Macaca fascicularis: one gene and its partners. The protein of the gene in region 2 binds, or shares a complex with, the protein of the main gene of each other region. Links are inferred from orthologs where the notes say so. Each region holds a gene or a part of one and is shown on either strand. Other genes may lie near its edges.

Region 1 (4,076 bases), on a different chromosome or scaffold from region 2:
ATTTATTTATTTATCTTTGAGACGGAGTCTTGCTCTGTCGCCCAGGCTGGAGTGCAGTGGCCGGATCTCAGCTCACTGCAAGCTCCGCCTCCCGGATTTACACCATTCTCCTGCCTCAGCCTCCCGAGTAGCTGGGACTACAGGCGCCTGCCACCTTGCCCGGCTAGTTTCTTGTATTTTTTAGTAGAGACGGGGTTTCACCGTGTTAGCCAGGATAGTCTCGATCTCCTGACCTCGTGATCCGCCCATCTCGGCCTCCCAAAGTGCTGGGATTACAGGCTTGAGCCACCGCGCAGGGCCGCTATGAGTGAGTTTATTTAACACGAATTTCTGAAAGACTTGTCAACTCTGGGTGCCCAGGAGTCAAGTTTAGCACCTCCAAAAAGAGCAGAGGATGAGACCATGAAATGAAAGGACCACAGGTACGACTGCCTCATGGGAGTCAGGCAGTCCCCGACCGTCTTTTATAATAATGTAGACCATTATGTGATTCCCTCAAAGTCTTAAAAACCACTTCATAGAAGCTTCTCATTGCTGCTTGAAAAACATCATGCCCAGGGCCGGGCACGGTGGCTCACGTCTATAATCTCAGCACTTTGGGAGGCCGAGGTGGGCAGATCTATTGAAGTCAGGAGTTCGAGACCAGCCTCGCCAACATAGCGAAACCCTGTCTGTACTAAAAATACAAAAATTAGCCGGGCGAGGTGGCACACGCCTGTAATCTTAGCTATTCGGTAGACTGAGGCAGGAGAATATCTTGAACCCGAGAGGCGGAGGTTGTAGTCAGCCGAGATTGCGACAATGCACTCCAGTCTGGGCAACAGAGCGAGACTCGTCTCAAAAAAAGAGGAAAGACGGAAGGAAGGAAGGAAGGAAGGAAGGAAGGAAGGAAGGAAGGAAGGAAGGAAGGAAGGAAGGGAGGGAGGGAGGGAGGGAGGGAGGGAGGGAGGGAGGGAGGGAAAGAAAGAAAGAAAAAACAAAACATTAGGCCCAGGAGAATCAGACTGCGGAAGGAAGGAAAAGAAAGAAAAAACAAAACATTAGGCCCAGGAGAATCAGACTGCATTGCACTCCCTGTTCTCAGTTCAGCCCTTGCTCCCAGGGTTTGGACCCAAAAGCCCTCGCTGGCCCAGCAGATGGCGCCGGTGCCCGCAGTGCGCCCCTCCGGGCGCAAAGGGGGCGCCCTCGCCGGGCCTCTTCTTCCTCTCCTGGATGACTCTTCCGCCTTCCGAGCCCGCCTCCTCGCCACGCCCCTGCGTCAGCGCGCTCAGCGCGTGCGCCGGCGGCGGGGCTGTGAGGAAAATGGCTGCGTCTTCGAGTGGTGAGAAGGAGAAAGAGAGGCTGGGAGGCGGCTTGGGAGTGGCAAGTGGTAACAGCACACGAGAGCGGCTACTGTCTGCGCTTGAGGATTTGGAGGTCCTGTCTAGGTAATGCTGCGATCCTGAGAGCCGGGCTGGAGCTAGGCCGGGGGACTGACCCCCGGAGCCGGCCGGCCCAGCGTTTGTGCTCGTTCTCGGGGTTCGGCGGGGAGGGCCAGCTCGGGAGTTTCGGGTGCACCAGGGTCACGGACGTGGGGTCCGCAGTCTTCCAGCACTCTGGACGGCGGTTTTTCCCGTTAGAGGGAATTTTAGTAATGATAAGAACTCGCGCGGTCTGAGCCCCTTCGTCCACAGCCAGCCACTTAACATTTATGGAACGCCCCTTGGGTGCCAAGCACTAGGGAGACAGTAGTGCAGGGTAGGCTGAATGCCGGCTGTCGAGAGAGAGAGACAGATGTGTAAACTGCCTTGAAGCCTGTTTTTATTAGAGCGCTGCGCTGCGGGGTACTGGAGCACAGGGGCTAGGCACCTTTTCTGGTTGTAATCAGGGCAGGCCCTCTGAAGAAACGGCTGTTTGGGAAGCGTGAGCTTGCCAGACTCACTAGGCAGCACAGGTAGATGGAACAGCAAGTGCAAAAAGCCTGGCTTGGTGGAGTTGCAAGTTTTGTATCAGAGATAGGAGATGAAATTAAATGTCATTCTTTATATTCTGTCACCTTTCATGATAAGTCAAGTTGAAGCCTTCCTTGACTCCCTCCCATTGACGTGGATGGTAAATTATCTTGGTTCTACCTCCTAAAATGTTGCTCACATTTGTCCTCTCGTTCCTACCCCACTGTTCATAACTACTCTTAAATGCAGCCTCCCAGTTTTAATTGCCTCATGCTTCTGCACTGTATCCTTTTATATTGGCCAAGATCAGTTTTAAAAGGCATGTTATATTACTTTTCTGCAGAAAAATGATATAAAACCTACCTCATTGGTAGATTTGCGTTGTCCAGTGAGGTAAAGTTCAAATTCTTTAGTCAGGCTTCCACATCTTCAATGCCATTCCCAATCTTCCCCCGATTTGGTGAATGATTCATATATCCTTCAGATTCCAGCCCAAATGTCACTTTTTCTGTAGCCAACATTCTTTGACAACTTTAGAATAAATCTTATCTGTTGTATTTTAAAATATACCTGATATAATCAGCACTTTATCTTTGGTGTAAATTTAGTCCTTGCCATAGTATTGCTACCAAGTTACCAGGTCAGCACAATATTTAATGATGGAAGAAAACCCTAAAACAAATAGACTCCAGAAATTAAATGACTTATGTGTTTGATCCACTGTTTAAAATAAACTGTATTATGGCCGGGTGTGGTGGCTCACGCCTGTAATCCCAACACTTTGGGAGGCCGAGGCGAGCGGATCATTGGAATTTCTTCACAGAATGAAGCTGCTCTGGTGGTGTGACTGGCTTCCAGAAAAGTCTCATGTGCTCACTCAGACATAGTTATGTGTGCTGATTCTGTGATCTGTGTAATTTGTCAGTCTCTGAATGTAATTTGTGTCTGGCTTGCATTTATGGAAATGAGAAGAAAATTCACGAATGTACCTTACATATTTTTAGGTTGAGCCTCTTGGCTTTAAAAAATAGTGGATTTATAACTTAGGATCTTTTTTTTTTTTCTATTAACCTGATTATGTACCCTTTCAGGATATTTATTACTTTGTAAAATGTAATGCAAGGAGACAGTCTTAAACAATTGAAACACAGGTTGTAGTCTAAACGTTTTTCTTAACCCGTTTGTAACTGAAAACTCACGGAATCATGTTGATAGGAGTCTTGAGGTTTCCACACCAGCCTGTTAATTCTCTTTACCTGAAAAGTGTATTACCACTAATAATGTAGGCTCTAACCCCTATGGAAATTTTATTTCTATGGGGAATTGTGGCTGGATTCTAATGCAGTATGCCAGGAATGCACCTTCCTTGTAGCAGGACAGGGCTCTTACTTCCACATCTTTAACCAGAGAGTGAGTATGGGCCTTCCTTTGGCCTCTTTTTCACAAATGGGGAGGACAGAGGTTTCTACTTCGTCTTGGACTGTTACAGAACATGACTAAGTCTTAGAGACTTCTACCTCCCCTCTACTCCTGTGTCAGAGACTTCTACCTCACCTGTACTCCTGTGCCTATGGCAAGCCTTGTAAAGCCTTCTGTGGACTCATACTCCCAGATTTGCAAGAACAGAGGAAGGCTTATCCCACATCTCCTACCATAGCCCCACTCCAGTCAGCACCACCCCTGCCCCACCTGAAACCAGCTTTTACTTAGACTAGAGGTTCTCAACAGTTTGTGTCTCAGTGGCATACACGAAAAAGTTTACGTAACATGCTGTTTTCATACACTGTTGATCCATCAGCAAGTCCTGATAGCTCTACCTCCAAAAGATATCTGAAATCTGTCTATGTTTCTCCCATCACCATTACTAAGTCCTGGAGGCTATGACCTAGTCAAAACCAGTCATTTTTTGCCTGGAACACTACAAAAACCACCTGTTCTGGCCCTTTTACAGTCTATTTACCAAATCGCTCAGCAGTTTTTAAAAGTGTAAATCAGGTCATGCCTTTTCCCTGTTTAAAATGATCCAGTGGCTTTTCATTGAATATGGAACGAAACATTAATCTTTACCATAACTGTAAGGTCCTACATAATCTTACCCCTAGCCACCTGGCTGCTATATCCTCACTTTGCTTTCCTCTCCCCAGT
Region 2 (4,112 bases):
CGTGCAGAAGCAGCCGTTTTTGCAAATGAAAACATTTCCCAGAAGCACAACAAATACAAGACTAACAGGTGCCAGGCAGCGCCAAGGCACACATGTGGTTCTCATCAGCCGTCTTCCTCCTGTTTTAAATCTAGGTCTTCCTGTAACAGTGGGGAAAAAAAAGATTTCTCCCGAGGCCGCCGAGCTTGCCTTTCCACCCCGTCTCACAACAGCATTTCCAACAGAGTTCCCAGAGAGAGGGGAGCAATTACAGAAGGCAATAAGTAGGGTGGAGGGAGGAGGGGCGCCCTTAAACTTGACACCTGCGGTTCTGGGCTTAACCCCGAAGTCTAGGTGACCTTGGGCCTCCGTTTCCTCCTGTGACGTGTTTGGTTAAGAGAATGAGCATCTCAGTTTTACAGCACCTCCAGGCAGAGGCGGGTAGAAGGGTCTTTCAATCACGGGGTTTTCTGCCGGTAGCGGGGCGGGGGGACTGTGCCCCAACAAGGGATGGCGGCAATGACTGCAGACTGGGGGAGGGGGCGCTTCTGAGGCCAGAAATGCCGCTCAACTTTCGACAGATCGCGGGACCCGCCCCAACGACAGAGCAATATCGCCCAAATGCCAGTGGCGCCGAGGTGGAGAAGCCGCGGCGTAGACGCAGATTTGCAACCTCCGGCTTTCCAGCGTTCCCAGCTACGGGGGGCGGCTTCTTTGCCGCCTCACGTTTTCGCGATCGGGGTCGCGCGTGGCGATGCAGACCCCCGCCCGTCACCACACCCATTCCCACACTCTCTAAGGGGCGGGGGCGGCCGCGGCGACACCCCTGGACTCCTCCGATGACCCTTCCGTGCGCAGAATCACAACGTGGACGTCTGCTTCCCTCGCCCTCACAAAAACTTCGGCAGCTGCTCAGCCTGCGACTCTCATCCCCCAGTCACGCGCCGGGAAGGCTCTCCTAGAGGAAGGATTTTCCCGCCGCCCTCCCTGCCCTGAGGTAGCCGCCGCGAGCGTCCGGGTTCAAGGACTCTTTGCGCGCGCGCTTCCGTCAGAAAGCCCCGCCCCGCGACCCGGGCGGGGGCGGGGTCTCCAGGCAGCGACCGTTGCCCCGCCCAACCTCCTCCCAACGGCTGCCTAGGCCGGGCGGCGGGGCGGGGCGGCACAGGCGGGTGAGTGCGCCTGCGCGCGCGTGCGCGGAGGCGCGGGGCGGGGCGCACGGGCAGCCCCGCCCATGCCTGGCGTCTCCGCCCGTCCCATCTCCCAACCTCCTCAGCGTGGCGCCGACGCTGCGTGCGGCGCGGACTACCCAGAGTACTCCGCGCGGGGGCAGCTCACTGGAGTTTGGTTCTCGAGGCGGCGGCAGCAAGCGGCGGCGGCTCCGGCGGCTCCTCCTCCTCCGGTGGCGGCGGCGGCCCGGGACCGAGACCCGGCCCCGGCTCCCCTCTCCGCCACCCCGCGCGCACCTAACCCTCCGGCGCCGCGGGGAACATGCGGCTCCGGCTCCCGGAGGCCGGCGAGTGAGTGACCCCCGTCCCCCGCCTCAGCCCGCCCGCCCGCTGGCCCGGCCGCAACCCCCGCCTCGCCCAGGCAATGACAGCGGCTCCGGCGTCTCCGCAGCAGATCAGGGACCGGCTGCTGCAGGCCATCGACCCCCAGAGCAACGTAAGTACCCGCCGCGCGAGCTGGGACGGAGGCCGCATGGGCCTGGGACCCTCCCCCTCTCCTGTCCCCCTCGCCCACCGGGCTTCGGGGGACCCGTCTGGCGCCCACCTCCCCTCGAGGGCCGCTGCCATCTCTGCCTCTCACTCCTCGGGCCCGGGCCGGGGGCAGGTCGGGCAGCCCGGCAGCGCTTGGTACGTGAGGCCGAGGCTTCCGTGCGGCCTGGGCGGAGGAAGCAGACGGGGGGCTAAGGGTAGAGTTTATCTCCCCTTTCTGCTCCAGCTCTATGACCCTCACTGCTCTGGACGAAGCTGCCCTGCATCGCCCTCCCTCCGGGACCTGAGACCCCCGGGAAGCCCTCCCGGAGCGGGGGAGGGGAGGGAGAAGGGCTGTGAAGCAACTGGTGTCCGGGGTATGACTCGGGGAGCCTGTGTCTCCCATGTCTTAGCCTTCTGGGTTATGAGAGAAGTCCTTCCCCCTCCTCCCGGCTGGCAGCACCTTCCTGGCTTCGGAGAGAACCCCCAGTGTGTTTTGCCCCTGGCCGGGTACCCAGGGTACGTGGAGAGTCTGTCTCCCTTCTGTGACTGGACACGCCTTCGCCAAAACCCTCTTGGGGTCGCTGCCAGCGACAGATGATTTCGGGGAGGGTGGGATCCTTCCTGTTGCCTTTCTGGGCCTCAGTACCCATTGCGTCTCTGACCAAGCCAGAGCTCCATTTTTTTGGGTAGTGAATTAAAGAGGACTTTTCTCTCCCGTTTACCCAAGAGCCCTGTTTCAGTAGGCTCTTTCCCTCACCTGGGGGTCTCAGCCTGGTGGCTATTGACCCAGACTGTCAGGGTTAACTCCAGGGTGTCGCTTCCTCGGGTGCCCCTTTGCTGAGGCTACTGTTGGCGGAGGGACCGCCCCTTCCCCCTCCGTATGTGTGGCTGTGTATCTGTGTGTGTGTATGTGTGTTGTTGCGGGGGTGGGGTGGGGGTGGGAAGACTGATCTATTCTCATATTTTCTCCAAGAGTTTCTTGGCAGTAGGGGTCATACTTCCCGCGGCAGGAGCAGGGCGGTGGGAAGATGCAGTAGCATCCAGGTATGAAGTGAGGCCCTGCTTCCCAGGAAGTGGCCATTGAGATCACTTTTTAATATGCTGTGAATGGAAGAAAAAAATCATCTTTGGCTTGGCCAGGTAACTCAGGTTTCTCTCACCGTAGGGGTTTTTACTTGTAGTTTTACATGAGCTTGGCTGATTACTCTTAGCAGTATGCTTAACTCTGATGATGTTTTTGGAATAATTCACGTTGACTTATACAATTTTTGGTAAGATTGAAGGGTTATGAGTTTTTTTCTAAGGCCCTGTTTTTGCTGTGATATAAGTACTTCTCTTATCCCTGGTATTCAGGTCCCATTAACATTGACTTGATGGTAATTGTCTTTAACAAATGTTATATTATACATTTTTGTTATGACTTTGGGGGTGGAGTGGGCACAAGCTATATAAAACCTTCTCGAATGTCCTTTTTGCAGTAACTGGTGCCACTGCAATTTTAAGATTGAAATATTAGAGGATAAAACTAGTGACATGAAAAAAATAGCCTTGGTGACTTGTACATCTTTTGTGGAGCCAGAAGGTAATTTTTTGAATTTCACGCACTCGCTTTCCTTCTGGAGAGTCTGAGAGGTTGCTGAGATATTAGCACTGATCCTTAATGCCACCTCAGAGAGCTTTGGGATCAGGCGGCACTTTGACAGGCGATCACAGTGTTGTAGATTAGGTCACTCCAGTGACCTCACAGTTTCCAGTATTGTGTAAGGCTCTAATCAAAAGGGTTCCTTGAGGCAGAAGAAAAGAGGACGGAACAAATCTTAGTTTTGTGTGTCTCAGCTCATGCAGAAATGTTATATAGGTCCCTGGTTATGTTACCTGACATGGAATTTGCATTTCATATCGCTTATTTTCAAGGACTTTGGTGATGATCTTGGGCAGAGTCCTACTAACATGGGGTGGATGGATTTGGGAAATTATCTTCTTGATTATGAGCAATGAGGAAAGTGCCTCCTTTGTGATTGATCCTCTGAGCGCTGTTATGGGCCGTTTGACAGGACCGTTCGCTTTGAGCAAACACCATGCAGAAACAGAGCTGCAGTGGACGGGGTTTGCTGGCGGAGGTGGTGGTGAGAGCTGGGCATGTCAGTGTGTCTGCAGTTTCTCTCGGATCAATGTGGGCTCAGGTGAGAGCAGGTGGCTCCAGCACAGGTGCTGCCGGTGTGCCGGTCTCTCCTCTCTGCCCTGCCCAATGATGAATTCCACTACTGGATATTTAGTTGACACATATTTAAGATGCTCGTGGAAAAAAAAAAAAAAAACGGGGACAGTGTTGAAGAGCCAACACTAAAATTAAACCTCTTCTGAGAGAAGCGGCAGAGAATTGTGTCATGTAATGCTTACCTTTATGGGCATGCAATTATGGTTAACAAACTTAGC
Region 3 (4,071 bases), on a different chromosome or scaffold from region 2:
TCCACCCGCCTTGGCCTCCCAAAGTGCTGGAATTACAGACGTGAGCCATCGCTCCCGCCTTGAATTACTTTTTCTTTCCATTGTGATTCAATAGCATTTTATTTTTGTTACTGGTGTTATTTTTGTTTATTGTTATTTGCTACTTTTGTTATAGCACACTGGCTGTCTTTTCTCTAGAAGGCAATACAAGGCCGGCACAGTGTCGCACGCCTGTAGTCCCGGCTACTGGGAGGCTGAGGCAGGAGGATCGCTGGAGTCCAGGAGGTTGAGGCTGCAGTGAGCCGTGATCGCGCCACTGCACTCCAGCCTGGGTGACAGAGGGAGAATCTGCCTCAAAATAAATAAACAAATAGCAATACGACAATAGGATATTGGCTCTGGAATTGAGAATCTTAGTGCCAGCTCTGTTACTCAGTAGCTGTATAATACTGGGTAAGTGAATTTTCACACTTTGAAAACCAGCTTCCTCATCTGCAAAATCGAGCCAATAATAAACCCTAACTCATGAGGCTGTGAGCAGATTAAAGGAGATAGTGTCTGAAAAGCATCTGACACAGTAGGTGCCTCTTTCGCTAGACCAAGGGTTCTTAACCTGGAGTTCATGGACCCTTAGGGGATACATGGATGAGCTTCAGGGGATCTAAGAATCTAAAGTAACATTTTGCATGTCAATATATGCATATTATTATTATTTCTGGGAAGAAGGTCCATAGCTTTCATTAGCACCTTTAAGGGTTTGTGAATCAAAAAAGTTACTCTGCGGTACCCTTGGGCAGAAAAAACAAACAAAAAAGGTTAGACAACTCGATGGTAGACCTTGAGGGATTAGAGCCAGCCTTTCAGGGTTTAATAGGTTCTTTCTCATGCATACGTAGTTTCTAATGTTCACAATAGCCCCTTCAAGGAGGTGTTAGCGCACCTATTTTTCAGATGCCGGAACTAAGAAACGAACTGATTTGTAATAGACGGAGTTCCTAACCAAAGCAAATGTTATTGAAGACTTTTCTAGGCCAAAACCGAGCTAGGCTCTGGGAACCGAATTCCAGTCAGAACTCAGCACCACAGAGGCCTCCCTCTTCCCTGGTTTGCATCCCCAGCTCACTCGGCGCCTCCGGAACGTTTCATAGATTTTTGCTGAGTGAAATCAACTTACCGCCGCCGCCGCCGAAAAACTCCCGGGGCACAGAGCTCCGCCCCCACCGGGCCAGGCCCCACCCCCTCTGCGGTCGGTATTGTCCGATGGTTCCCGGCGTCCCTCGGCTTCCCTCGGTAGTTTCCGGCAATGGTCGAGAGTTTCTAACGTGCCCCCTTGTTGTCTCTCGGCCGCCGTCCTCTCAACCACCGCCCCCCTTTTCGGCTCCCTCTCCCCCTTCCCGTTCCCCCAGTCAGCCTGGCCCTGCTGGCGCCTCCGGCGCTACGGGCTGGGCAAGATGGCGGCCTTCGGGATCTTGAGCTACGAACACCGGCCCCTGAAGCGGCCGCGGCTGGGGCCTCCCGATGTTTACCCTCAGGACCCCAAACAGAAGGAGGTGCGTTCGAAAATCGGGGCTCTGGAAGGGCCGGGGGCACGCGGTCAGCCTAGGAGGAGGCATTGACGTCTGGGAATGGGGGGCGGGGCGGTTCGGTGAGAGCGAAAGTCCCGAAAGGGGGAAGAGTAAAGTGGGCTGGCGTGGGAGGGCAGGACGGGGCGCGGTGGGGGGTTCCAAGGTATGAATAGGGGGTGGTGTAGGGGCCGCACCAGAAGCGCCCTCCTCCACACACATCTCAGAAAGTTGTCTGAGACAGCTTGGTGGGGTACGGCTGCTCGGATGTTCGCAAGAGAAGAGTGATGTTTGAGGGCGCCCTGGGTGATTGGGAATCGTAGTGACCATGGGGGTGACGGTGGGGTCCAAGTGAATGTAAGGGCCCAGCTTTAAGTAACGATCTGTGCTACACGGAACCCTCCTCCTGCCCTTTCACCTTGTTCCTTCGCTTCTCCTGCCCTACTCTCCCATCCCCTCCCCCTCCCGCTAAGGAAAAAACAACTAAACGCCGCTTTCCTGCCTCAGGATGAACTGACGGCCTTGAATGTAAAACAAGGTTTCAATAACCAGCCTGCTGTCTCTGGGGATGAACATGGCAGTGCCAAGAACGTCAGCTTCAATCCTGCCAAGGTGAGACAACTCTGCCAGGCTGAAGGAAAAGGCTGGAAGAATCTGAGAAGGAGCAAAGGCCCTGGGTAGGGAAGACTTATAGGGACAACCTAAGTGGCTGAGTTTGCCTTCATGACCTAATGCTGTCTCATTGGCATTTGCCCAGCAAAAGGCAGGCCACCTGTCTGCCCCTTCTTCCCACCCTGAGGTACAGTTTTCTTCCCTCAGATCAGTTCCAACTTCAGCAGCATTATTGCAGAGAAGTTACGTTGTAATACCCTCCCTGACACTGGTCGCAGGAAGCCCCAAGTGAACCAGAAGGACAACTTCTGGCTGGTGACTGCACGATCCCAGAGTGCCATTAATACTTGGTTCACTGACTTGGCTGGCACCAAGCCACTCACGCAACTAGCCAAAAAGGTAAGGTACTGTTTCCTGTCCTTCAGGCCAAGGAGGGAGCATAGGGTACCAAGTATCCTCCTATTCCCATATTAAGCTACATGGGTGTCAGCTCATGGGGATAATAGAGACCTCACTATTTGCAATGTCCATCCAGGTCCCCATTTTCAGTAAGAAGGAAGAAGTGTTTGGGTACTTAGCCAAATACACAGTGCCTGTGATGCGGGCTGCCTGGCTCATTAAGATGACCTGTGCCTACTATGCAGCAATCTCTGAGACCAAGGTTAAGAAGAGACATGTTGACCCTTTCATGGGTGAGTAACTCCTAACACCAGGTGTACGGCTGATGGCTTCAAGGAGGGATAGAGACACCCTTGCAAACATCCTCCTTCTTAATCTAGATTCCTTGTTTCTGCTTGTTTCTTGCATTTGCTTGATCAGTAAACACTGAGAAATTTGAGTGTCTACTGTGCACATATACTGGTCTACAAAAACGTCCAGTGCATAATCTCTGCCCCTAGGATACTAGTAGTCTAACAGGGCTGCTAAGGTATATGTACAAATAACATAATTAAATATAGAAGGTGGTGAATGTCAGGCTAGGAGCAGAAGGTTCTTTGAGTGGACAAAAGATTACTTTCTTATGGGGATACCCAGAAAGGCTTTAGGAAGGTGGGATTTGACTAGAGACAAAGGATGAACTGAATTTACAAATATGGTGGGTGATTGGGAGTGGGGTAAGGTATTCTAAGTAGAAGGATATTCTTTTTTTTTTTTTTTTTTTTTTTTTGAGACAGAGTCTTGCTCTGTCACCCAGGCTAGAGTGCAGTGGCAGGATCTTGGCTCACTGCAACCTCCACCTCCCGGGTTCAAGTGATTATCCTGTCTCAGCCTCCCAAGTAGCTGGGATTACAGGTGCCCACCCCTGCGCCCGGCTAGTTTTTGTATTTTTAGTAGAGACGGGGTTTCACCATCTTGGCCAGGCTGGTCTCGAACTCCTGACCTCGTGATCCACCTCAGCCTCCCAAAGTGCTGGGATTACAGGCGTGAGCCACCGCACCGGCCAGTAGAAGGAAATTCTAAGCAGAAGGATAGTATCAAATAGCCCTTTTTCCCTGTTTCCTCCAGAATGGACTCAGATCATCACCAAGTACTTATGGGAGCAGTTACAGAAGATGGCTGAATACTACCGGCCAGGGCCTGCAGGAGGTGGGGGCTGTGGTTCCACGATAGGGCCCTTGCCCCATGATGTAGAGGTGGCAATCCGGCAGTGGGATTACACTGAGAAGCTGGCCATGTTCATGTTTCAGGTAGGGAGTAGGGCATGCTGTGTGGGGCATTAGGTTGAGCCTGAACTTGTACTCTGCCAATAGAGAACAGAATCTGCTTGCCACCTTGCCCCAGTTGTGGTTCTCTTCATCTTTTCATTTACTTTATCTGCTTCATCTCTAATAGTCCCCTCTTCCCTCCCCTGGTACCCATAGGATGGAATGCTGGACAGACATGAGTTCCTGACCTGGGTGCTTGAGTGTTTTGAGAA
Region 4 (3,500 bases), on a different chromosome or scaffold from region 2:
CAGTTGTTGAAGCTAGCTAAAAGAATTACAGATAAGAAAAATGTCAGTTGCAGCAAAACATAGTGAGCCTCTTCCAGGAGTCTCTTATTAAGGGGAATGCTGCAGATGAAAACATGGCTTCTCTGTGAGCAGATCTTGCACTACTGGCAGCTCAGGAACATTTGTGCTGTGCAGGTACTGGTGTCACATTGTCCTGGTCAAGCTGGTGAGCTCTTGTGTCTGTGGTTGGTTGCTGGTGAAAGAGCACCTGCGTATGGTAGAAACTTCTGCTGTCAGAGATTGTAATCTTTCCATTTTAGTTTGTTCCATCACGATGCCATGGAATTGATCTTCCATCCCATAGAAAAGAAACCCAAGCAAATAAATCCGTACTTAGTTGACTGAGGCTGTCAGCTTTGCTGGCATCTTCTCTATGTGTGCAGCAAAGACAGTGCCGGCCCTGCTTTCCTTTCTCAGCCACCTGTGGCTTTCTGTGAGATGCTGCCACAAAGGGGATCACTCACTGCAGTGTGCAGAGTGAACTGACGAAAGTTTGTTTTTCAAGGTTTCAGATAAATGTTGATCATGCTTTTGGGATTTTTGTTTTTCAGAGCCAGGGTGAGCGTCTTCTTTCTAGAGAAGCACCAGAGGAACTAAAGCAGCAGCCCCTGGCCCTTGGGTATTTTGTATCAACTGCCAAAGCTGAGAATCTTCCCCAGTGGTTTTGGTCATCGTGTCCCCAGGCTCAAAACCAGTGCCCTCTCTTCTTAAAGGTTGGTTTGGTATCATATTAGAAGTTTGCAAGGAATGAGTGATTTATGCTTAAATTTAATTTTGCTTAGAAATTTCAGTTTTAGGCATCATAATCTTATTCTGTTCCTTTTTTCTCTTGTATCTACTTACACTCTGAGGAAATTTTACAGTTGTAGGTGGAGAGTAGAATTTAGGAGGACCCAAAACCATGTCACAAAGAAATGAAGCACAGTAGCCCAAGGAGGAGACAGTGGGGCCCAGAGGGTAAATCTAGGGTGGTACATGGGGTTCAGTGTAATGGTCTTTCTCCAAGTCTATATTGCGTCACTATCAGTAAAGTTAAGCTTGCGTCGAGGGTATAGTAACCAGCCGTCCTCTTCCTCCCCTGCCATGGACTCCTCTCATTCTTCATTAGAGCAGGGTAAGAGTCGGCTAAAAACATTGCACATTTGCACTTCCTCCTTCCTTTATATTTCTTGGAACCTTTTAATCCCAATTTTAAAGGTTCAAAACAAAAGATCCCCTATTTGCAGTTTGTGTTAAAAACAGCAATACCTAGAATGAAATCCATTTCTTGCCCACAGATTGGCAAAAATACAAAGATTTGGCAACATACTGTGTTGGCACAGATGTGGGGAGCAGGCCCTGGTGTTGGTGGAATTGCTGAATAATACAGCCCTACACACTACCCTTTTAGGGCAGCATTCCCACCTCTAAGGAAGAGCCCAAAGGTTCTTCGCCAAAACAGAAAATGACGTATGTCCAAGACTAGAAAGAACCTAAGTGTCATCAGTGATGGACTGATTGAATCAACTGTGGCACATCCAGACAGTGAAATGTTAATCATTTGCAACAAAATGGAGAATATTTCTGTGTAATCATTCTGTGGAGTAGCGATTACCTTGGAGTAATCTATAAGATATGCGTATTCACACACATATACACACACACAGCTGATTATATTTTCAAAAACAAATGATGGAAATCAAACCAAAAACTTAGTGAAGCAATGTTCTTTTCCTAATGACTTTAACATACTATTATAAAATCAAAGAAGGTTTATAAAAATGCATGTGTTCTGTATTTTGAATTAGAATTATCAGTATGAGCGTAGATTTATTTTTCCTCTCTAAAAAAGTTTACACATTTTTTTAGCTCTGTCTGCTGAAAAAGCTTAGCAGCAATAAACACCTCTGTTGCCACAATTGTGGTTCCTACACACTGTTGTCACTTAAAGGTACTATGGTTCTTTGAAGATGACTGATTCCAGGTATGAAGCAGGAAATGTTCCCAGTGAACCTAGGGCATCTTGTCACACCTAAAAGCAAGAAAGTTACCAAAGATCATGATGGTCCATCAGGGCCTCAGGAGCCATCTTAGAGGGCAGCTCGATTGTCCAGGGCTAGGATGGGACCGTGTGATCATTAAAACAAATGATGACAGTGATAGAATGAAACAAATCCTTGGTTCATAATTGTGTTGGAAAACAAAAAATCAGTCATTTTTAACTGCTAGAGCATCAACTCAGTCTGAAAATAAAAAATAAAGAGAAAGCATTTATATATTGCCTCTCGTTTACATATAAAGTAATACCAAAACCATTGGGTGAAAACTTGATGAGGAACTTTATGATGGGTGTAGTACGCTGGTACCACCTGAACCCAGTGATGAATCATGTTACTTCAGGTGGGACAGTAGACATTTCGTGCCTTTAATCATTTGTCACGTACAGATCATGTTGGCTCATGATTTTAGTAAACCAAATATAAAAAGACATTTTTGAGATAATAAGGGAGCATTATCTTATTATCCTGCAGATGGGGTGATTGGGGTGATAATATTAAGGAATCATTGTGAATTTTTATTGTGTGATAATTACTGTTATGTTTAAAGGTCCTTATGTGAGATATCTCTGACGTTTTACAAGCAAAATGATACAATATTTGTTTTATGGGTTTTTTGGTTTGTTTTTTTTTTTTTTTTTTTTTTTTTTTTTTTTTTTTTTTTTGAGACAGAGTCTTGCTCTGTTGCCCAGGCTGGAGTGCAGTGTTGCAATCACAACTCACTGCATCCTCATCCTCCCAGATTGCTCAAGCAATCTTCCAGCTTCAGCCTTCCGAGTAGCTGGGACTACAGGCACAAACCACCATGCCCAGCTATTTTTTTTTTAAATGTTTTGTAGAGATGGTAATATTTGTGTTTTGTTTAAAATAATTCAGAAGAATGAAAACAAAAAAGTGGTGAATATTGATAATTGTTACATCTTGGTGATATCAATTCATGGGACCTTATAATATATTAGAGTATTTTTGTGTGTGCTAGACTATTTCCATTGAAGAAACAAAATACAGCAGACCGAAAAAGCCCAAAAAGTTTGCCTCCCCACCCCCCCCAACCCTAGGATGAGAAGTTACTTGGGATTACCTTGGGGGTTACTGAGCAGGTTAAAATTTATAGACTCATAGAAACTCTGACTTCTAAGGACTTTTGGGAGCATCTGCTTCTGGCAGACATGGCCTCCCTCACTTCTGCACTGTGATTGTCTAGACCAGAGAGGTAACTCCCTTTGTTTTTTCACCAGGCTTCGCTGCATCACCACATTTCAGTAGCACAGACAGACGAACTTCTGCCTGCCAGGAATTCTCAGCGGGTTCCACACCCTCTTGACTCCAAAACTACGTCTGATGTTTTAAGGTAGATACCAACCTAGGCATCATAGCAGTGCAGTTTGAAATGATATTCCTTTACTGTTGTCTTTGCAAGGTGTT
Region 5 (4,073 bases), on a different chromosome or scaffold from region 2:
AAAGATCAATTTAAAAAATTAATAAACAATAGTACAGGCAGTACTTAGCTATATAGAAATCAAGAAAACAGTCATAGATGACATTGCTTTATGATCAACTAAATGAATCTATTAGGGTAGAGTCCTTCTGTTGCTAAAAATTGTCACTACTCTATCAGAAAAAGCACTGATAAACAATGTTGCTAATGTGCCTTATGTTGAAATATAAAAGAATCCCTAAACTGACGCTACAAGGGACAGAAGTCCTAGGATTCTGAAAACGTTGATAAGGGTGCCAACAGAGAGCCCTTGCCCTGGAGCTGCCTTCTCCATTTATTTATTTATTTATTTATTTATTTATTTTTTTTTTTTTTGAGACGGAGTCTCGCTCTGTCACCCAGGCTGGAGTGCAGTGGCCGGATCTCTGCTCACTGCAAGCTCCGCCTCCCGGGTTTACGCCATTCTCCGGCCTCAGCCTCCCGAGTAGCTGGGACTACAGGCGCCCGCCACCTCGCCCGGCTAGTTTTTTGTATTTCTTAATAGAGACGGGGTTTCACCGTGTTAGCCAGGATGGTCTCGATCTCCTGACCTCGTGATCCGCCCGTCTCGGCCTCCCAAAGTGCTGGGATTACAGGCTTGAGCCACCGCGCCCGGCCTGCCTTCTCCATTTAAAAAGCAGGGGTGGCTGGGCACGGTGGCTCGTGTCTGTAATGCCAATACTTTGGGACACCAAAGCAGGAGGCTCGCTTGAGTTCAGGAATTCAAGACCTGGATGTACAAAACAGCAAGAACCCATTTCTATTTATTTAAAAAAGAGCATGGGGTTCCAGGGTTCTACGCTGCATCCTTTCTATTTCCATCCCTCACATATCTTGCTTCCATTAAGGAACACAGGAGGATCATGATGTGAACTGTGGGAAACAAGAGTGCAATCACTGAGAAACCTGCAAGAACCTGGGCTACCAGGAGGAAAAGTATTTCCCCTACACATGCTTTTGTATGAGAAGCCTATAGCCACTGGCTTCAGATATCCTGGCCTCTGGGTTTCTCCCACGGGGAAAAATGCTCACATCTACTGAGATAAGAAAAAAATGTTCTGGGACCTGGCACCTTACAACTAACGCCTCCACAAGCACTGGACCCATACCTTTCCCTGCTACCTCATCTTCTTCCAACGGAGACTTAAAACCTATGAAAGATAAAAACTCCTCTGAAACTAGACTAACCATGGAATTAAACATAGTGGGAAACGGGTCCTAAAGAGATAAAGTGCCTGGAACCATGATCTCCTTATTTTCAATAGCCTCTTTTTCCCTCTGGACCCAAGATCTTAAAATGGGCAAATTAGAAACAGACACAAGCTGGTCTAACTGCATTTGATGGCTGAGGGAAGGGTAGGCAAAAATCTTGGCCGGTCGCGGTGGCTCACGTCTGTAATCCCAGCACTTTGGGAGGCCGAAGCGGGCGGATCACCTGAGGTCTGGAGTTCGAGACCAGCCTGACCAACATGGAGAAACCCCGTCTCTACCAAAAATACAAAATTAGCCGGGCGTGGTGACGCATGCCTGTAATCCCAGCTACTCCGGAGTCTGAGGAAGGAGAATGGCTTGAACCCGCGAGGCGGAGGTTGCTGTGAGCCGAGATCGCGCCATTGCACTCCAGTCTGGGCAACAAGAGCGAAACTCCGTCTCAAAAAAAAAAAAAAGAAAGAAAGAAAAAGAAATAAAGAAAAATAAAGAAAATCTTTAAAAATACTGTTTCCTGATTGCTTATAACACACTCCCTCTAACCCTGTCTGCAGGTGGGTCACAGTCCAAAGACCCTATTTCCAACCCTGACGTCCCATTGCGGGCAGTACTATGGCCTCACGGGAAGGAAAATAAATCTAGAAGGGAATGAGGTACACAACCATTGATAGGTTCCTGGGATAAAAACTTTGCTTTGTCGGCCGGGCGCGGTGGCTCAAGCCTGTAATCCCAGCACTTTGGGAGGCCGAGACGGGCGGATCACGAGGTCAGGAGATCGAGACCATCCTGGCTAACACGGTGAAACCCCGTCTCTACTAAAAATACAAAAAACTTACCCGGGCGAGGTGGCAGGCGCCTGTAGTCCCAGCTACTCGGGAGGCTGAGGCAGGAGAATGGCGTGAACCCGGGAGGCGGAGCTTGCAGTGAGCTGAGATCCGGCCACTGCACTCCAGCCTGGGTGACAGAGCGAGACTCCGTCTCAAAAACAAACAAACAAACAAAAAAAAAAACAAAAAACTTTGCTTTGTCGACACCAGCCTGGCCAATATGGTGAAATCCCATTTCTACTAAAAATACAAAAAATAGCCGGGCGTGGTGGTGGGCGCCTGTAGTCCCAGCTACTCGGAAGGCTGAGGCAGGAGAATCGCTTGAACCCAAGAGGCGGAGGGTGCAGTGAGCCAAGATCGCACCACTGCACTCCAGCCTGGCGACAGAGCGAGACTCCGTCTTAAAGAAAAAAAAAAAAAAAAAAAAAAAACTTCGCTTTGCTTTCCCGCCTTCCAAGAGGAAGGGGCGCATCTCCGAGGAAACAAGGCCGGGGAACCCGCGGCTCGCACGGCATCCTCTCATCCACACAACCCGAGGACAGCTCCCAGGGGACGGCGGACCACGGTCAAGGTCCTCTTTTCGGCCCTTCACAACTCCAAGCTCCGCCCTACAAAACCCCCTGCAGTCCTACCAAGTCACTCCCATGGCGTCGGGCCAGGAAGGCGGCCGGATCACACGGTAGAAACGCAGGGTTCCCTATCCGCCCACAGAAACTGCTTCAGTTCCCCAACACAACCTTCGGTCTCGGAAGAGACTCCGGAAATACGTAAAAACAGAGCGCCGGGTCCACGCCTTCCCCAAGGAGTGGGGCGGGTCTCAGGGCCCCTCGGTGACACCTCTAGTGACATCATCTGCGGATTCCCGCCCACAGGTTTCTAAATCCAGACATTCTCGTTTGGCTGAGCACTCTAGGCCTAGACCCATGAAGCTAAGAGCGACACTCAAAGACTGCACTGTTGAGAGAAGCTAACGTTAAAGGCTGTAAATATATTGGGGAGTCCAGCACCGGAACCCGGGAGCTCTTTTAGTGGGAGGGGCGGCGCTGATGGCGCTTCTGGCCTCCGAATGCTAGGGGGCGCTGTGATCGCCGCGTGGCCTCTTGAGAGCCGGGAGTCCACCGCGCAAGCGCAATCTGGCTTTTTCGCCGTCTCCACGTGCGAACCTCCGCGGCAACGTTTTCGAGAAAAATGCCCAAATTGAAGGCGGCCCGTGGGGTCGGGGGTCAGGAAAAACATGCGCCCCTGGCCGATCAGATCCTGGCTGGGAATGCGGTGCGGGCAGGGGTCCGGGAGAAGCGGCGGGGTCGCAGGACCGGAGAAACGGAGGAAGAGTATGTGGGACCCCGGCTGAGCCGGCGGATTTTGCAGCAAGCACGGCAGCAACAGGAGGAGCTCGAGGCCGAGCATGGGACTGGGGACAAGCCCGCGGCGTCGCGGGAACGCACCACGCGGCTGGGTGAGTGTCTGGGATGAGATCCGAGGAAGACAGTGGCCAGTAGTGGGGCGGGGTGGACAGCTAAAAAGTGTCTGGCAGGGGAATTGCTTCGAGTCAACAAAGGGTCCGTATTACACTTGCAAAAGTAATGGAATGGGAGACTGAACCCTGTTCAGAGCCCTCCGCGTCCACTCCTAGTTTTAGGCACTCCCTTCTACACATCCCCTAAGTTAGGCCAACAGTAATCGCTCGCTCCACCCTAGCATTTATCCATTGGTTTTGTAAATATATATGGGATACCCACTACGAGCTTTGTACTATGCTCGGAGTTCTATCGAATGTTTGGGTACAGAAGTAAACAACATAGGCACGTCTGACTTAAGGACCTTACAGTCAAGCCCAGTAGAGAGTCAATTAAGTAGACTCTTAGAATAATATTTTTCTATGATAAAGTGTCGCTTCCCTGGTAACAATAGCATTGGTCTTGAGAAGCTTCTCCGATTGCAGCAGGACCTTTTAAGTTGAGAACTGAAAAACGAATGGGAAGTGTTATGAGCAGAAAACACATTGTTTAGCAGCCAAAGA
Region 6 (3,983 bases), on a different chromosome or scaffold from region 2:
TCAAGCTATCTGCCCGCCTTGGCCTCCCAAAGTGCTGGGATTACAGGCCTGAGCCACCATGTCCCGCCTGGTCATTTTTCTCTAGGCTCTCTCCTTTCCCAAACTTTTCTCCATGTTGCAACCAGGGTTCTTTTAAAGCTCACACGTGTTCTTTTAGTCTGGCACTGCAGAGTACTCCTGGATCTGGACCTACTCCTTTTCCAGACTTTTAAATTTTTATTTATTATTTATTTATTTATTTTTTTGAGACAGAGCCTCTCTCTGTATCCCAGGCTACAGTGCAGTGGACGATCTCGGTTCGCTGCAACTTCTGCCTCCCACGTTCAAGCGATTCGCCCACCTCAACTTCCCTAGTAACTGCGATTACAGGCGCGTGTCACCATGTCCGGCTAATTTTTGTATTTTTAATAGAGACGGGGTTTTACCATCTTGGCCAGGCTGGTCTCAAACTCGTGATCTCAAGTGATCCACCTGCCTCGGCCTCCCAAAGTGCTGGGGTTACAGGCGTGAGCCACCGCGCCCTCAGTTCATTTTTCTTTTTAAGCCCATTATAATCTCTGTAAGTCCTATCAGTTCCAAGAGACTTTCTGCACAAATACATCTCCAGGTTGTCAAACCTAAAAATATTTTCCTAGAGGATGGCCTGTGACGTCAAGGCGCCAGGTAGACCCCGGAGGAAAGCTCCAAAGGAGGCCGCCATCTTTCTTACAGCAGCCCGGCATTTTGCGCATGCGCTTCTGATTGTCTGTCCGCAATGACGCTCTTCGGCCTTCTCGGCACCCATACGTTTGGGAACGGCAGTTTCGAGGTTTGTGAGACTTCGGCTTCCGACCGGAAGTGAGAAGAGCAGGAAGTTGGCTGGTTGCACCGGTCTGGGGGCTTCCCGGGCTCCGGTAACCGGAGGACTGGGATCTAATCGTCGCTCAAAGGCTCCTAGGTGCGCGGGTGCATATAATTCCCGACTTCTCGAGAAGACACTAGAGCCTCAAGGAGGTGTGCTTCTAGTGTTTAAGTGGACACGTGTTGTGGATGCTGGCTTAGAAGGACCTATATACCATCATTTTAAAATAACTTCCTCTTGGCTCTCTCTTTTTTTTTGAGACGGAGTTTCGCTCTTGTTGCACAGGCTGGAGTGCAACGGCGCGATCTCAGCTCACCACAACCTCGCCTTCCGGGTTCAAGCGATTCTGCTGCGTCAGCCTCCTGAGTAGCTGGGATTGCAGGCGCTCGCCACCAGGCCTAGCTAATTTTTTGTATTTTTAGTAGAGACGGAGTTTCTTAATGTTGGTCAGGCTGGTCTCGAACTCCCAACCTCCGGTTGATCCGCCAGCCTCGGCCTCCCAAAGTGCTGGGATTACAGGTGTGAGAAACCGCGCCTGGCCTTGGCTCTCTTTAAAAGGCATTTTTAGGCTAGCCGCAGTGACTCTCCCTCCTGTAGTCCCAGCTACTCGGGAGGCTGAGGTGGGAGGATCGCTTGAGCCCAGGAGTTCGAGGTTATAGTGAACTAGGAACTCCCCCACTGCACTCCATCCTGGGCTACAGAGCGAGATCCTGTCACCAAAAAAGAAAAGGGTATGGGGGAAAGGCATTTTCAGAGCGATGGAATGCCTAGATTCTAGTTTGGTCCCAACTCTGCTACCAAGTTGCTGTGTGTATCCTGTCCCTCTCTGAGTCTCAATGTCCTCATCTGTAAAAATGAAGGTCCCTTAAGACACTTTTCAGTTCTTCTGAATTTTGTTGCCTCTTTATTATCTCGTTTGAGCCACATAACCTTGGGAGTTAAAAATCATTGGCCTTTGGCTGGGCGTGGTGGCTCACGCCTATAATGCCAGCACTTTGGGAGGCCCACTCACCTGAGGATCATCTGAGGCCAGGAGTTCAAGGCCAACCTGGCCAACATGACAAAACTCTGTCTCTACTAAAAATATTAAAAAAAATTAGCCGGGTATGGTTGTGGGTGCCTGTAATCCCAGCTACTCGGGAAGCTGAGGCAGGAGAATCGCTTGAACCTGGGAGGCGGAGGCTGCAGTGAACAGAGATTGCACCATTGCACTCCAGCCTGAGCGACAAGAGTGAAACTCTGTCTCAAAAAAAAAAAAAAAAAAAAATTGCTGGTCTCATTTTATGAGGAAGATATTGAGTCCCAGGGTGAGGGGTTATAGACAGGACTTTCTCAAGATTGCACAGGTAACTTGGAGGTTTCAGAACTTGAGACTAGAAGGCAATGCTGTAACTCCATGACCAGATCTCCTTTTTATATTTCTGTATCATCAGTTCCTGGAACTGGCCATGTAAGACACTGAAATGTTTTTAAATGAATGAATCTTTTGATTTGAAGGCCAGTGCCACAACAGATTTGGTCTCTCTCGACTACTCTGATGTATAAACAAGTGAACTCTTTTCCAGGTATATCCCGTGCCTTACCTGACTGGGGGCTCTGAGTCCAGTTGTGTTGTCTTCAACTTAGACACCATGGAGGCACCTCCAGTCACCATGATGCCTGTCACTGGGGGCACCATTAACATGATGGAGTACCTATTGCAGGGTAAGTGAACCAGGGAACTTGGATTACCTGTTTTCCTCTTCTCTGTTCAGCTTCCCTTAAGATGAGAGACAACACAAAAGCAGCCTGCACAGTTTCTGGCACCCAACTATGTTTTTAACTGTTACTTTAAATTACAGTTTTACATGCACTAAACATATTAAATCTGCCATCTTGGCCGGGTGCAGTGACTCACGCGTGTAATCCGAGCACTTTGGGAAGCCGAGGCGGGTGGATCACGAGGTCAGGAGATTGAGACCATCCTGGCTAACACGGTGAAACCCTGTCTCTACTAAAAATACAGAAAGAAATTAGTCCGGCGTGATGGCGGGTGCCTGTAGTCCCAGCTACTTGGGAGGCTGAGGCAGGACAATGGTGCGAGCCTGGGAGGCGGAGATTGCAGTGAGCCGAGATCGCAACACTGCACTCCAGCCTGGGCGACAGAGCAAGACTCTGTCTCAAAAAAAAAAAAAAACCTTAACATATTTAAGTGTACTGTTCAGTATTGTTAAGTATATTAACATTGCTGAACAACAGATCTTTAGAACTTTGGTTTATTGTGAGTAGCTTGAAAAAATACTTAGTACAACTGTTTTTTTCTTTGAGACAGAGTCTCGATCGGTCACCCAGGCTGCAATGCAGTGGCATGATAACAGCTCATGCAACCTCCACTTCCCGGTTCAGTGGATTCTTGTATTTCAGCCCCCCGAATAGCTGGGATTGCAGGCGTGCATCACCATGCCCGGCTAGTTTTTGTATTTTTAGTAGAGAGTTGCAGTTTCATTATGTTGGCCAAACTGATCTTGAACTCTTGCCTTCAAGTGATACACTTGCCTTGGCCTCCCAAAGTGCTAGGATTACAGGGATGAGCCGCCACGCCCAGCCTAAAATGCTTGTTTATCATCCTATAAAACTGCAACTCTTTACCCCTTAAACACTAATTCCCACTCCCCTCTATGCCAAACCCTCAGCAGCTATCTTTCTAGGTCCTGTTTCTCTGATTTTTTTTTTTTTTTTTAAGATGGATTCTCACTCTGTTGCCCAGGATGGAGCACAGTGGTGCAATCTCAGCTTACTGCAGCCCCCACCTCCCAGGTTCAAGCAATTCTCCTGCCTCAGCCTCCTAAGTAGCGGGGTTACAGGCGTGCACCACCATGGCTAGCTAATGTTTGTATTTTTAGTAGAGACGGGGTTTCTCCACGTTGGCCAGGCTGGTCTTGAACTCCTGACCTCAGGTGATCCACCTGCCTTGGTCTCCCAAAGTGCTGGGATTACAGGCGTGAGCCACTGCGCCAGGCCAGATTTTGTCAACAAGTATCTGAATATGTTCCAAACATTTGAGCCATAGCCATGGAGGGAGAAAGATGACTAAAAAATAATGTATGTCAAGCCAGCTATTACAGGCTTATGACTGTAATTCCAGTCGTTTGGGAGGCTAAGG
Region 7 (3,500 bases), on a different chromosome or scaffold from region 2:
CTGAGATCGCGCCACTGTTCTTTAGCCTGGGTGATGGAGTGAGATTCTGTCTCAAGACAAACAAACTAAATAAATAAATAAAAATACAAAAATTAGCCAGGTGTGGTGGCAGGTGCTTATAATCCAAGCTACTCAGGAGGCTGAGGCAGGAGAATTGCTTGAACCTGGGAGGCAGAGGCTATAGTGAGCTGAGATTGTGCCACTCCACCCCAGCCTGGTAGACAGAGCAAGATGCCATCTCAAATAAAAAGCCAACTTAATTGTTGCATGAAAGATAGTTAAGCCAGTATGCATCCCAGAACCATTAATAAGTAATTTTGTGAGATTTTTCTACAGCTAGGTCTGGCAGCCTATTTTTGTAAATAAATTTTATTGGAACACTGCTGTTCATTTACATGTCTGTGGCAGATTTCTAGGTAATATTGCAGAGTAGGTGAACAGGAAACGTGACGTACAAAGCCTAACATATTACTACATGACCTTATAAGAAAAATTTGTGGCCGGGTGTGGGGGCTCACCCCTGTAATTCCAGCACTTTGGGAGGCCAAGGTGGGTAAATCATGAGGTCAGGAGTTAAAAACCAGTCTGGCCAAGATGGTGAAACCCCATCTCTACTGAAAATACAAAAATTAGCTGGGCGTGGTGGCAGGCTCCTGTAATCCCAGCTACTTGGGAGGCTGAGGTAGAGAATTGCTTGAACCTGGGAGGCAGAAGTTGCTGTAAGCCAAGATCGTGCCACTGCACTCCATCCTGGGCAACAGAGCGAGACTCCATCTCAAAAAAAAAACAAAGAAAAATTTGCTGGCTGGGTGTGGTGGCTCACGCCTATAATCCCAGCACTTTGGGAGGTGGGCGGATCACCTGAGGTCAAGAGTTCGAGACCAGCCTGACTGACATGGAGAAACCCTGTCTCTACTAAAAATACAGAATTAGCTGGGCGTGATGGTCCATGGCTGTAATCCCAGCTACTCGAGAGGCTGAGGCAGGAGAATCACTTGAAACTGGGAGGCAGAGGTTGCCGTGAGCCGAGATCGTGCCATTGCACTCCAGCCTGGGCAACAAGAGCAAAACTCCGTCTCAAAAAAAAAAAAAAGAAAAAAAATTTGCTGACATATGTTCTAGAGCAAAACATTTGCAAACTGAGGTTTATGAATATAAATTTATCTGGAAAATAAGTGCTTTGCTTTAAAATAAGATTTATAACAAATAGCACTTTTTATAACAGGTGTAGGTTTGGGATCTAAGTCAGTAAGGTTTAGAAATTGATAGGTCAAGAGATTTTTCTTTTTTTTTTTTTTTGAGACAGAGTCTCATACTGTCACCTGGGCTGGAGTGTAGTAGTGTGATCTCGGCTCACTGCAACCTCTGCTTCCTGGGTTCAAGCAATTCTCCTGCCTCAGCCTCTCAAGTAGTTGGGATTACAGGCACCCACCACCACGCCCAGCTAATTTTTTTTGTGTTTTTTTTTTTTTAATTAGAGATGGGGTTTCACTATGTTGGCCAGGCTGGTCTCAAACTCCCCACCTTGTGATCTGCCTGCTGCGGCCTCCCAAAGTGCTGGGATTACAGGCGTGAGCCACTCTGACCAGCCAAGATTTTTCTAATGGTTCCTTAATTAAAATAAATTATGTATCCTTGTAATTGCCATATGAAGCCCCCAAGGAAGACATTTTCTTTGAGATGGAGTCTTGCCCTGTCACCCAGGCTGGAGTGCAATGGGACGATCTTGGCTCACTACGACCTCTGCCTCCTGGGTTTCAGTGATTCTCCTGTCTCCCTTTCCTGAGTAGCTGGGATTACAGCCGTACACCGCCACGGCTGGCTAATTTTTTGTATTTTTAGTAGAGACACGGTTTCACCATGTTGGCCAGGCTGGTCTCAAACTCCTGACTCCCAAGTGATCCACCCGCCTCGACCTCCCAAAGTGCTGGGATTACAGGAGTGAGCCATCACGCCTGACCTAAGGAGGCTTTTTTTTTTTTTTTTTTTTTGTTGTTGAGACAGAGTCTTGCTCTGTCACCAAGCTGGAGTGCAGTGGCATGATCTTGGCTCAATGCAACCTCCGCCTCCCTAGTTCAAGCAATTCTCCTGCCTCAGCCTCCCAAGTAGCTGAGATTACAGGCCACGTGCCACCACACCCAGCTAATTTTTGTATTTTTAGTAGAGATGGGGTTTCATTGGCCGGGCGCGGTGGCTCAAGCCTGTAATCCCAGCACTTTGGGAGGCCGAGACGGGCGGATCACGAGGTCAGGAGATCGAGACCATCCTGGCTAACACGGTGAAACCCCGTCTCTACTAAAAATACAAAAAACTAGCCGGGCGAGGTGGCGGGCGCCTGTAGTCCCAGCTACTCCGGAGGCTGAGGCAGGAGAATGGCCTAAACCCGGGAGGCGGAGCTTGCAGTGAGCTGAGATCCGGCCACTGCACTCCAGCCCGGGCTACAGAGCAAGACTCCGTCTCAAAAAAAAAAAAAAAAAAAAAAAAAGAGATGGGGTTTCACCATGTTGGCCAGGATGGTGTCGATCTCCTGACCTCATGTTCCAGCTGCCTCAGCCTGCCAAAGTGCTGGAATACAGGCGTGAGCCATTGCGACTGGCCCCTAAGGAGGCATTTTCTGAGTTCCATTATTACCAATTTTCTTTTAGTTCAGTTTGAAATTCAATTATTTGGACTCTTGTTTATAGTTTGCTTTTGTTGTGTGATTCATAAGAGACTGACAATTTTATGTTGGGTTAGATTTTTATAATGTATTTACCCAAAGCTCTGGTATTTGATAGAACTATTTTTGCCTTATACGATTTGCCCTACCTGGAAACTGCTTACTGCAGAACTCTGATGGTTTATCTAAATCTCAGGTCTCATTCAGCAGCTATTGAAATATTAACTTTGTTTTCTTCCTTATCTTGCAGATGTATGTCCATCCCTGTGACGATGAGGGCTATTCGGAGGAAAGCTGAAACCATTCAGGCCGACACCCCAGCACTGTCCCTCATTGCAGAGACAGTTGAAGACATGGTGAAAAAGAACCTGCCCCCGGCTAGCAGCCCAGGGTATGGCATGACCACAGGCAACAACCCAATGAGTGGTACCACTACACCAACCAACACCTTTCCGGGGGGTCCCATTACCACCTTGTTTAATATGAGCATGAGCATCAAAGATCGGCATGAGTCGGTGGGCCATGGGGAGGACTTCAGCAAGGTGTCTCAGAACCCAATTCTTACCAGTTTGTTGCAAATCACAGGGAACGGGGGGTCTACCATTGGCTCGAGTCCGACCCCTCCTCATCACACGCCGCCACCTGTCTCTTCGATGGCCGGCAACACCAAGAACCACCCGATGCTCATGAACCTTCTTAAAGATAATCCTGCCCAGGATTTCTCAACCCTTTATGGAAGCAGCCCTTTAGAAAGGCAGAACTCCTCTTCCGGCTCACCCCGGATGGAAATATGCTCGGGGAGCAACAAGACCAAGAAAAAGAAGTCATCAAGATTACCACC

The links.
Region 1: MED26 (region 2) and MED4 share a complex: the UniProt entries of both Homo sapiens proteins name them as parts of the mediator complex. The link is inferred for Macaca fascicularis from reciprocal best matches to the Homo sapiens genes MED26 and MED4.
Region 3: MED26 (region 2) and MED12 share a complex: the UniProt entries of both Homo sapiens proteins name them as parts of the mediator complex. The link is inferred for Macaca fascicularis from reciprocal best matches to the Homo sapiens genes MED26 and MED12.
Region 4: MED26 (region 2) and MED13L share a complex: the UniProt entries of both Homo sapiens proteins name them as parts of the mediator complex. The link is inferred for Macaca fascicularis from reciprocal best matches to the Homo sapiens genes MED26 and MED13L.
Region 5: MED26 (region 2) and MED20 share a complex: the UniProt entries of both Homo sapiens proteins name them as parts of the mediator complex. The link is inferred for Macaca fascicularis from reciprocal best matches to the Homo sapiens genes MED26 and MED20.
Region 6: MED26 (region 2) and MED18 share a complex: the UniProt entries of both Homo sapiens proteins name them as parts of the mediator complex. The link is inferred for Macaca fascicularis from reciprocal best matches to the Homo sapiens genes MED26 and MED18.
Region 7: MED26 (region 2) and MED1 share a complex: the UniProt entries of both Homo sapiens proteins name them as parts of the mediator complex. The link is inferred for Macaca fascicularis from reciprocal best matches to the Homo sapiens genes MED26 and MED1.

Annotation. Positions count from the first base shown.
Region 1 is NC_088391.1:27,212,684-27,216,759, reverse strand, and holds the start of MED4 (mediator of RNA polymerase II transcription subunit 4), read left to right. Parts: upstream 1-1,276; 5' UTR 1,277-1,302; coding exon 1,303-1,427; intron 1,428-4,076. UniProt on the Homo sapiens protein: Component of the Mediator complex, a coactivator involved in the regulated transcription of nearly all RNA polymerase II-dependent genes.
Region 2 is NC_088393.1:16,962,135-16,966,246, reverse strand, and holds the start of MED26 (mediator of RNA polymerase II transcription subunit 26), read left to right. Parts: upstream 1-1,312; 5' UTR 1,313-1,569; coding exon 1,570-1,641; intron 1,642-4,112. UniProt on the Homo sapiens protein: Component of the Mediator complex, a coactivator involved in the regulated transcription of nearly all RNA polymerase II-dependent genes.
Region 3 is NC_088395.1:77,818,866-77,822,936, forward strand, and holds the start of MED12 (mediator of RNA polymerase II transcription subunit 12), read left to right. Parts: upstream 1-1,271; 5' UTR 1,272-1,430; coding exon 1,431-1,529; intron 1,530-2,048; coding exon 2,049-2,153; intron 2,154-2,360; coding exon 2,361-2,552; intron 2,553-2,688; coding exon 2,689-2,845; intron 2,846-3,659; coding exon 3,660-3,841; intron 3,842-4,015; coding exon 4,016-4,071. UniProt on the Homo sapiens protein: Component of the Mediator complex, a coactivator involved in the regulated transcription of nearly all RNA polymerase II-dependent genes.
Region 4 is NC_088385.1:122,913,782-122,917,281, reverse strand, and holds part of MED13L (mediator of RNA polymerase II transcription subunit 13-like), read left to right. Parts: intron 1-590; coding exon 591-752; intron 753-3,313; coding exon 3,314-3,426; intron 3,427-3,500. UniProt on the Homo sapiens protein: Component of the Mediator complex, a coactivator involved in the regulated transcription of nearly all RNA polymerase II-dependent genes.
Region 5 is NC_088378.1:129,647,993-129,652,065, reverse strand, and holds the start of MED20 (mediator of RNA polymerase II transcription subunit 20), read right to left. Parts: upstream 2,801-4,073; 5' UTR 2,700-2,800; coding exon 2,686-2,699; exon of another isoform or gene 2,063-2,685; intron 1-2,062. Other genes in the region: BYSL (bystin), read left to right, coding at 3,242-3,509. UniProt on the Homo sapiens protein: Component of the Mediator complex, a coactivator involved in the regulated transcription of nearly all RNA polymerase II-dependent genes.
Region 6 is NC_088375.1:206,730,028-206,734,010, reverse strand, and holds the start of MED18 (mediator of RNA polymerase II transcription subunit 18), read left to right. Parts: upstream 1-1,183; 5' UTR 1,184-2,124; coding exon 2,125-2,187; intron 2,188-2,406; coding exon 2,407-2,545; intron 2,546-3,983. UniProt on the Homo sapiens protein: Component of the Mediator complex, a coactivator involved in the regulated transcription of nearly all RNA polymerase II-dependent genes.
Region 7 is NC_088390.1:60,453,143-60,456,642, reverse strand, and holds part of MED1 (mediator of RNA polymerase II transcription subunit 1), read left to right. Parts: intron 1-2,909; coding exon 2,910-3,500. UniProt on the Homo sapiens protein: Component of the Mediator complex, a coactivator involved in the regulated transcription of nearly all RNA polymerase II-dependent genes.